2 linked regions of the Saccharomyces cerevisiae S288C genome follow. Changing the gene in region 1 together with any one later gene gives a genetic interaction. Each region holds a gene or a part of one and is shown on either strand. Other genes may lie near its edges.

What was found.
Region 2: of CWP2 (region 1) and TAO3, a mutation in one rescues a mutant of the other (synthetic rescue), as found in Saccharomyces cerevisiae (one study listed by BioGRID).

Annotation. Positions count from the first base shown.
Region 1 is NC_001143.9:257,440-260,147, reverse strand, and holds CWP2 (Cwp2p), read right to left. Parts: upstream 896-2,708; coding exon 617-895; downstream 1-616. Other genes in the region: YKL096C-B (uncharacterized protein), read left to right, coding at 926-1,075; YKL097C (uncharacterized protein), read left to right, coding at 1,235-1,645; MTC2 (Mtc2p), read right to left, coding at 2,305-2,708. UniProt on the Saccharomyces cerevisiae protein: Component of the cell wall.
Region 2 is NC_001141.2:106,963-115,033, forward strand, and holds the start of TAO3 (Tao3p), read right to left. Parts: upstream 6,276-8,071; coding exon 1-6,275. Other genes in the region: MET18 (Met18p), read left to right, coding at 6,844-8,071. UniProt on the Saccharomyces cerevisiae protein: Seems to play a role in cell morphogenesis.

The sequences.
Region 1 (2,708 bases):
GCAATTGTAGTGAGGACAAAAGTTCATTGAGTTCTAGATTATTATTTTGTCACACGTCTCCCTTGAATTTGTAAAATATTTTATAAGTGGAAGTAAAGTATAGAAAATGGCAGAAAAAAAAGATCCCACCGTAGCACACCAATATCTTTCCCACTTTCTTTTGAACAGGTAACAGATAACGAAGATGGTAAAAAGATAAAGGGAAGAACGGTCAGCACTTTCGCCTATGTTTTTCACGCCTTGACTCTTTAATCGCAGCTAAGGGCGAAATTCTTTATGCACACTGGTCTGTTGAAACAAGCATGCATGTTTTTTTCACCTTAGGGGCGCAGGAAACATTGTGCATAGCCAAGATCTCAGCAAACTCGAAGAAACCCAGTCTCTAATACATTCATTTCGAGTTCAAATTTTTGACTCATTCGAAGAGAAATCACAGGAACATCGTTAAAGTAAAAAGTGTTTTATTTTTATGGTATCTACCTATTCAAAATAACAAAAATTATTTAAAATTATGTGTAAAAATATATTAACGAAAAGAAAAGAATCAAACACTTACCTAGTAAAACCGAAAATTTTGAAAAAAGCCATATAGATATTATAAAAAATCAGAGATTTCTTATAACAACATAGCAGCAGCAGCTAGAGCACCGGCACCCATACCGACAGCGGCCTTAGCAGCACCATTTTCAGTTTGTTGAGAGATAGTTTCGGTGCTGGATGGAGAAACAGTTTCAACGGTGGAAGATGGGGCAGCAGTGGTGGTAGCTTCGGTGGTAGCAGTGGTAGTAGCTTGGATTTGACCGTCAGTGATTTGAGAAATGGCGGCAGCGGATTCAGCGGCAACAAAGTTAGCCAAAGCGACGAAAGCAACGGAAGCGACAGTAGAGAATTGCATTTTTTTTCTTGTTAGTGTGTAGCGAATGTGATGAAGTTATTTATTCTTGATTATGAGAAGAAAAGAACAAAGATAGGAAAAGGGATGGCAAGAAGAGAATTGAAAATGATGAACAAGAAGCCTGATTTATATACGATTATTGTATCTTATTTTTCAATTTTTTCGTTGTTTTTTTTTTAGAACGTTACATTTCTCTGTTTGGCTTTTGGTCTACGGTTCCCCAAATGCAGTTAAAGAATGGCAATAATACGGAAAGGGAAATGCAAGAAAGAGGAAAAAGGACGGTTCCAGATTTTCTAATGATAAGCGCGAAATTTCCGCAATTTCTAGGGTAGTGGGATGTTCCTATTTACGTTTACCATTCTTGAGAGTGAAAAACTTATTATATGGCCCGTTCCGGCCGTGGTACTGGGTGTTATGGCCCCAAAACGCGCATATTCCACGCCTTTTGGGCCTTGGCCGGGCCCCGCGGAGTGCCTGTGGAATTGCCCTTCGGAGCTAAGGCAGTTCAGTTCGTGTTGTTTACCTCTGCCGAAACTGAGGCCGCCCAGGCCCACTTTCGCTTCTCTTTGGCGTGTTGTGGCGGCGATCGCTGCATTGTTTCAAGTGCCCTGGAGACGTAAAACAGGCGTGGGAAAAGCAATCTTCTGCATAGGTTGCTGCTGCCTAGCATATCAGTGGCGCAGAACGCGGTATTTTGCATACAAGATTATGACAGGAACATGCTTCATGACAGACTTGGCGCCCTAACATCCGCATCGGTGGAGGCAATGTAATACTGTGATACTATGTGGTTGTTTGCCATTAGTTGCACATTGCAATAAAAGGGTCGTCAAAAAAAGACGAGCAGCATAGTATCTGTAGCATTATTAATATGTCTAGGGGATGGCGTACGTTATGCTTCTCAGACGGTTTTCTAAGAAAAGCTTTGTCCCTTGCGGTGACCGCACAAAATAAAAAGGGGAGGCTAGCAATTCACTCATAGCACCTTGTCTATTAGAAATGGAATGCATACTGATTGTCCTTGCGCTTAATTGTCTATTGTAAATTGTAATCGCATGGTCATCTTTTAGTAGCATCTCTATTACTTCGTATTATGGTCAGTAAATGATTGACCAAGTGCAAGCGGAATCTTTCGTTGCTGGACTCAATTGGTAATGTCTATATACACTATTGCAAAGTAGTTAAGCCTTGCCATTTTCATTTCTCTCTTACTTTTTAGACCAAATATTTAGCTATTTACTTTGACCGATTTTGCTCATTTTTCGGGTCATGGCATAATGAATAAAAACAACAATTGGTTAACAAAACGATAAAGGGCAATTGACGCTAAGAATAGAAACTTTTAAATACCGTTTGTACGTATGTAAACATAGGTTCCAGATGCATGCTCGAAATACATAATAAACTTACACGGGCGGCACGACTTTACTTAGTACGTTTTTCACTACGAGAGATTCCAGGAAAAGGGGATTCTCAAACTCATTAACCTCCTCACACTTAATCTTCGCAAGTTTCTCTAGCATTTCGTCCACCAAGTTGGGGTCGCTACCGTACAATAAGGAACTATCCATGGAGGAACGCTGAACCAATTCCAAGTGCATGGGGAAGTACCACCTGGACGCCTCTTTGACATGTGAAGGTGACACAAACATCTTGCCGCTATGTAGACCAATTAATCTAGACAATAACACCACGTCGTCCAATGAATTTGTATATACCCCGCCGGCTTTGGCGTTATACGTCAATCTATGCGTTCGCAAATGGACCATGATATCGAGAATATACCGTCTTACAGTGGACCCCACAAATA
Region 2 (8,071 bases), on another chromosome or scaffold:
TTATTGAACAGAAGACCCAGAAGGAACACTAACGTTTGAGCGGAGTACGAGGGGAAGTAGTTTCTAGATATGAAACTCACTACTTGGCTCATGAAATCTTTCTTTGATCTAAACTTGTTCTTTGCTAGAGAATCTATCAAACGGGAAAGAGAAGGTTGTTTGTACGCATTTGCAAGTTCAATTAACGAATCTGCAGCAACCTGAATGCCCGTAAAATCTTTGCGATCCATTGCATTCAAAAATCTCGGAAGGTTTGCTATTAATGCGAAAAGCAGCCTAGACTCTGTATTTGCTATAATTCGGCTATCTTTCAACAAATTTAACTTATCCAAAAATTTCCACGTAATCTCTAAGGAATTCGCTGATCGCAATCCAGTCATAACTATTTGTTGCAAGCCATCAAAGCGACCTTCCCAATTGGAAGGAAAGATCGCAACCAAACACTGTACGGTATCAGGAGAATCCAAATCGATCTTGGAAATGAATTTACTTAAACATGACAGCACTTCAATGAATTCTTGTTCGTGAATGCTGCTCAAACATGCTGTAATGGACCAAAATAACTGCGGGAAACTGATCAAATTCGTCGGATCAAGTTCGGCCATGATTGCATTCAAAGTCATCAAGATCTGCATGGCAAATCCTTGTATATCGACATTTCCATCCGATATAGTGTTCGAAAGTCTATGAAGCATATCACGCAACATTTCCTGATCTAAAAATGTCAATAATGATCTAAATATTTGAAATGACCTGCACGCTATGTGCCTAACTGAGCAAGTGGTAGCCCACTTCAAGGCAATTCTTTGCCAAGTTACTTGAAATTCATCTAAGTCCGAGAATATAGAGATTATGTTCCTAATTAATAGGTCCATAGTTTTTGGTGATCTTGCACCTTTTTTCATCAAGTTATCATATGACCATAAGGCATGCTTATTTCTTAGTAGTTTCACGGTTTCCTCAGACTTTTCGTGACTTGGTGCCAATCCAAATATTAATGTAGATGCAATTTTACACGCGCTTTCGTGAATAAGCGGCACATAATGGTCAAGCAAGCAAATGGACATATGTAGTAGAAGAGGAATTTTCGCCTTTACAGATTCACTCAAGTTCGTTAACAAATTGACTAAAAAGATAATCGAAAGCTGCGCCTTCGAAAAAATGATTCTTTTCCCATTGTAATTTAGTCGTTCCCAGATATTCCCTAAAAAGGAATACTTATTATTATTCATTGGCTCATTAAACGTATGTTTCGCTAAAGGAACCATGTATTTCGGTTCTAAATTATTCAATAGAGTGTCAAGTAGTCCAATGCCACCAGGAATATTTGCCAAATACAATACAATATCTCTAGCATACTGAACAAACAATGGATTGCAGTGATTCATTGAAGAATTTATGATGTACTCCAGCGATACGTGTATATTTTGGAAAGAATTACCCTTGCCAAGAGAAATCCATAGCTGCTCTACTTCGTTCGGTAAAGAGTCGTTAAGATCAATAGTGATGTAAAATAGGTTATTCAATACCATAAACGTGTCCAACTCTTCTAAAGATTTCAATGTAAATTTGTTTACCCAAGGTACCATAAGCACCAACAAATCTCTTTTTATTTCGAAAGGAAACAAATCAAGTATTCTAACCAAACTGGAAAATATTCTCAAACACAAATCCTGAGAGAGCAGTTCGGCAAATATGCTAGAAATTTCTTTTGCAGTTGATTTGTAAACCGTCTTTGAAGAATTTGCAAGTCTCTCCTTAAATACCTTGGTATAAGAAGAATTATGTAATTTCGTTTCAACAGCTGAAAGTAGATCAACAGCAAATGTCCTTGTATCTTCCTTATCTGCCACTAAACCATACAAACCCAAGGAGACTAATTCATCTTCATCTAAAACCAAATTATCCAATTTCAAAACGGATTTACAAAGTGTAGTGTAATATAAAACAGCTACCGAAGGATGTGAGTGGTGTGAAACACATTGGAAAGCAACATCTCTAAATAGTTTAAAATTTTCCCTATTTTTGTCCAGGAGATTCTCCAAAGCACGCACACCAAGATTTTTTACAGTAGTATTGTCCGAGTCAAATAGTGCTTCAATCCAAGCAAGTAAATCTTCAGTATCGAATGAAATCACAATAGGCAACTCTAAATCATCGTCCAATGTTTGGGTTATTGGATCTGAACATAAAACAACCATAGTCTCTAGCACGATCATCTGCAATCTGTTTTTTTGGAATTCTATTCCAGTTGTAATAGCGGTTCTATCTCTGCCACTCTCTGTATTTTTTATCATTATGGCATATCTTTCTTCAGATATTGGCTCGTACTCACCATAACCACACCATTCCTTCAAGAAATTGAAACATGATGCGCGTGCTTGGAAGGGAAATAATTCATCTATTAGCGGATGCTCTCTTACTGCCATATAGTAGCTCAATATAAGACCTGCAAAGTAGCTTCGCAGCGATTGATATTCGTAGGAGATTTGCACAGAATCCTTCTCGAGGAACTGTTTTGTCTTCTGCAAAAACTCTGATAATTTCCGAAGTATCCATTCGTCATTAAATATCATATCCGATTTTAAGTACGGCGATAAAATCGTCAAAATATGAAACATCTCCACTCTGATTTGGTTGTTGGAGCTCCCTTCTTTCCATGCCACTAAAAATACATCAATTGCCTCCACATATGCTTTAAAAATGTTGATATTCATTGAGCTTAGCCCCGTTATTATAGCATCCCTAATCATAATATACTTTGCATTTAATAAGGGAAGAACCATCTTGAAGATTGATTTCGCAGATTTGATTTTTTGGTGCTGAACAGTAAAGATTTGTTGACTTTTTTTCCTGCCATGCTGAGGAATATTGGACGGAATATGCAGTTTTTGGTCAAACGTGGAAGTTAATGAAGTACATGCGGCAATCAAATATAGCTTCCATTGGTTTACTATTGTTTCCGGTAAAACATTTTTGAGTTTGAAATCAACATCATTTGCTACCCGCAGAATTATTTCGTGTACTTGCACAAGTCTTATACAAACGATAGATCGACACAATGCCATCGCCATAGGACAAGTTTTGAAAACCAACGCCAGTAATTTAGGAAAAGCCCTTTGCCATAGTGCAGCATCTACTCCGTACTCTGATTCGGCCAGTTTGATAAGTAGACCTCTTTTATATTTAGAATTCAGTCGACTGAATCTCGTTTTTTCAACCGCACTTAATGTTGCTTTATGTGGATTAATTAAGGTAGTGGTATTACACTCATTTAATAAATCAATAAGTCTTGTTCCGCGATCAGCTGCAAAATGGGATGATGATCTAGAATGCCCGTTTGACAATTTCTCTGTTTTCTCCATCATCGCTTCGTCAAACTTGAAAATAATTCTCAATATCTGGATGCCCAATCTACGAATTTTTGCATCGTGTGAACAAAGAAAAAATAAGCCATTCCCTTCTACTTCTTCAATAACTGTAACTGTATTTTTCCACTCCAGTTTTTCGGTTTCGTTACTCTCCTCTTGTTCTGCATCGATCGGCAACAAGCGAATTCCATCCAAACCAGTTTCTTTTTTATTTTCCTCTTTATTGGACGATTGGAATTCTTCTAACCAGCATTCCAAAAGCTCAACATAAAGTATCAATAATCTGTTGTACTCCTTTGATGACAAGTACGACATGTTATAACTTGATTGTGTCTTTTCATCGAAATCAAATGAATATTTAGCAAACCATGTGATTAGGGTGTATGGATTCTTCTTAGATGCTAATGCTCTTAGTGCATTTTGACTGCTAGAAGAAATAATTACCTCCGAATGAACAGCGTTCCTTGATAAAATCTCAATTGTAGATTTATATGGGATAGTGCGTGAAATAGAAAGGCAACATGGTATAGCTTCAATGATGGTGCCGAACAATATAACATAAAGCGACTTATTTTTACTTGAGTCATTGTCATTAGAAAAGCTAAAGCCAAATGGGCTGAATGCGTTTGATGATTGCTTTTGGTGCTGATTTTCAGGAGACCAAACTTCAGAACCGATGCTAGAATCCAATAAAAGGAATAATTTATAAAAGTAATCTGATATTTCTGTATGGTTTATGGAAGAGGCTTCTTGAACCTGATTCACTGTAATATTGTTTAAATTTAGTTCATAAAGCCTGTTATCATCCTCAGGAAACCTTGGCCTCTCTTTTGTAACCAGCAATCCTTTGTATGTATTTATAGTCAAAATCAGTTTTTCGTAATTGATATTTTCCAGGTTAGAGCCATTGAAAGATTGCCGTATCAATGGAATTAAAGCTTGTTCCATTAAAAAATTCGGATGTAAAAATCCAATTGATATTAACGCGTCTGTCAATGGGTTCAAGAGACCAAAATCGCCGGTTATCCAATTCTCTTTTTTCCTTGTGTTTAGATATAGTTGTAAAAGCTTGGTAAGCGTCCTTGTAGTATTATTTAAAGTTTCTGGGCATCTATATAAATAGACCCAAACTAATCTGGATAAACCAACTGCAAAGATAATCCTTTCATTCAGACTTTTGGACTTAACTTTTGAGGCATTTGCCTCCAACAACGATAGCCATTGTTTAGAAAATAGGTCTGGTGGTGATGCACACAAAATAGAAACTGTTAATTTGAAACCACTTACCCAATACTTACTATCAGCTTGTAGCCTCTTGGCAGTGTTCAGTAAAGTAGACATTGCCTCTACCCACGTTGGATGATTAACTTCTGCCGTCAACGAGCCAGCCAAAGGCAACAATAGCTGGTTAGTGACTTCAGCATACGCCAAACAAACCGGAAAATTTTCAGTCTTTGCGAAGAACTTTGATAAACTTTTCATGAAATCTGCACTTTCTTCAAATTTCTCCAACGGATAATTTCTTAACTTCAAATATCTCATACCAAGAATCAACAAATGAGTACTTGGCTCTAACTCGGGAGGTATATACGCCGGGATTTTTTCTAGATCAGCTATAAATCGATCACTAACTGACAAAAATTTCTTTTCAGACATAGAGCCCAGTAGTTCGGCAAAAGAATTCCAATTCGAAGACTTAATTAAACTAGTTGATATAGAAAGTGGATCAGTAGTTTTTAACTGAGTAAAAACAATCTCTTCTAGCTTATCAGATAAATCTTCTTCTTCATTGCTGGAAGCCTGCTTAACAATTTCATTTAGCACCCTGCATAGGATGTATATACTAATCAGAGATTTCCTATCTGCAAGGAATGCTTCTTCTTTTGCTACTTCAATTGTGTTCTCTAAACTTTTCAATTGTGAGTTCGCTATGGATGGACTTGAAGTAGCGCTATTGTTACTGCTACTAGCTTTGATTAACGGAACTTTGTTGTTGAAAGATGAGGAAACGTGCCTTTTCATGCCAGGAAGATTATTGGTATTGTTATTATGTTTGTACTTTGAGGTTGTATTACTGGAAGATCTTGATAGCCGCCTATTCATTAAAAAATGAGCCTGCGAGGGATGTGCCTTTTCAAACTCATACTCTTTTAATAGTTTTTCCATTTCTTCTGAAGCAGAGTTGGCCGCTTCAGATTTAGTCTTCCTCCAAAACATCATTGCATCAATCACAGGTTTCGGTTTTTTCTTTGCAATGTGACCTAGAGATTTAATAATTTCATCAAAGCTGGGATCAACGCCTTCACCAAGAATTTCTACAATTGGGGGTTCCGCCATGTCCAACTGCTGTAGACACATATTTAGTTTGTTCTCCGCGTAACGAATAAACTTTGTAAAAAGTATATGAAGAGCATATTCAGAGGGACTTTTCCAATCTGTAGCCATTTGCTGTCTCAAAGTAGTCACGTAGTCCTCTGCTACTGATTTTGCTGTAATGTCCGGCGGTGCTGATTCTTGCATTCTTTGCTGCTTTTGTTCAGGTAGTAGCATTGAAATCTTGTTTTGATCACTTTGCTCCTCAACAAAGGTAGGCGGAAGAGCTTGACCTTCCCCCGTTCCTTGTTGCTGTTGTTGCCGTAAAAGTAATTGATTATTTAGAGAGGTGCCTTCAGACATATCAGTAGGAGATGGAATATCAATAATAGGTGCATCCGTAACGGATTGGTGAAGAGGAAATGTGTTAAGTGGCGCTTCGTTTATTTCCTCCAAGACATCCTGGCCTGAAGGATCAATATCTATTGATATCTGGTTATTGTTGCTAGAACCTTCTGCTTTATTTGTCGGTGGGAAGGTGAAACCAATGCCTTGATCCCTCTGGGGCGGGAAAGTAAATCTCGAGGCCATTTTGATGTATAACAAAACTAAAAAGGGTTATTAAAATGGGAACACAACAAACAACCAGAATTTTCACACTTTAACCAGTCACGTCCTATTATGAAGACCTAAATCCACATTTGCTTTCTCTCTTCATTTGCCTAATCCTTTATCCCAATTTCTACAGTTCTATATGTATTTTCCTGTGTGGCTGTCGTTTCGTGGTTAGTGATACAACCATAACGATTCAACCAACTCCCAATGTATGTGATGTTGATACCGCTAATTTGGAAGGGATGGTATACTCTAGGTGACCTCAATGAGTCAAAGAGAGCTAGGACATACTTCGAGATAGGTAATACCACTTTGCAGCTTCTTTTTAGGCCTTCATGAGTGAGTAGCCAAGAAAAAGTTAAAAGCGGGTAATAGGTATGAATTTTTCAAATACTGAAATTTGGTTTAGTTATTTAAGTGAATTGTAGATTATGTACATTTTACGTGCAATGAAGGAGTCACCTCTATGATCATCTAGTTATTAGCTGTTAGTTTTCATTGAACTTGTTTTAACTGGGAAAAAGCGGAACAATTGGGCCTTACAATGACACCAGACGAACTAAATTCAGCAGTCGTCACCTTTATGGCCAATCTGAATATTGATGATTCGAAGGCCAACGAAACCGCTTCCACAGTAACGGATTCTATTGTACACCGATCAATAAAATTGCTGGAAGTTGTCGTTGCGTTGAAAGATTATTTTCTTTCAGAAAATGAGGTAGAAAGGAAGAAAGCGTTGACATGTTTAACCACTATCTTAGCAAAAACTCCCAAGGACCACCTCTCCAAAAACGAATGCTCAGTAATATTTCAGTTTTACCAGTCTAAGCTTGATGATCAAGCGCTTGCAAAAGAAGTCTTGGAGGGCTTCGCCGCATTAGCTCCAATGAAATATGTCTCCATTAACGAGATAGCCCAACTTTTGAGATTATTATTGGACAACTATCAACAAGGCCAGCATTTGGCATCAACTAGACTGTGGCCATTTAAAATTTTGAGAAAAATATTTGATAGATTTTTCGTCAATGGATCCTCGACCGAACAAGTCAAACGAATCAACGATTTGTTTATTGAAACATTTCTTCATGTTGCCAATGGTGAAAAAGACCCTAGAAATTTACTCTTGTCATTTGCACTTAATAAATCTATCACATCGTCCTTGCAAAACGTGGAGAATTTTAAAGAAGACTTATTTGATGTCTTATTTTGCTATTTCCCAATCACTTTCAAGCCACCAAAGCATGATCCTTACAAGATCTCCAACCAAGATTTAAAAACAGCTTTGCGATCAGCAATTACTGCGACGCCATTATTTGCCGAAGATGCTTATAGCAATTTGCTGGACAAACTCACTGCTTCTTCACCGGTAGTGAAAAATGATACACTTCTGACGCTATTAGAATGCGTTAGAAAATTCGGCGGCTCTTCTATATTGGAAAATTGGACGTTACTTTGGAACGCTTTGAAATTTGAAATTATGCAAAACAGCGAAGGAAATGAAAACACTCTACTAAATCCGTACAATAAAGACCAACAGAGTGATGATGTGGGCCAATATACTAACTACGATGCTTGCTTGAAAATTATTAATCTAATGGCATTGCAACTATACAATTTTGACAAAGTATCATTTGAAAAGTTCTTCACTCATGTATTAGATGAGTTGAAACCAAATTTTAAATATGAAAAGGATTTGAAGCAAACCTGCCAGATTTTGTCCGCTATAGGTAGTGGGAATGTCGAGATATTTAACAAGGTCATTTCGTCAACTT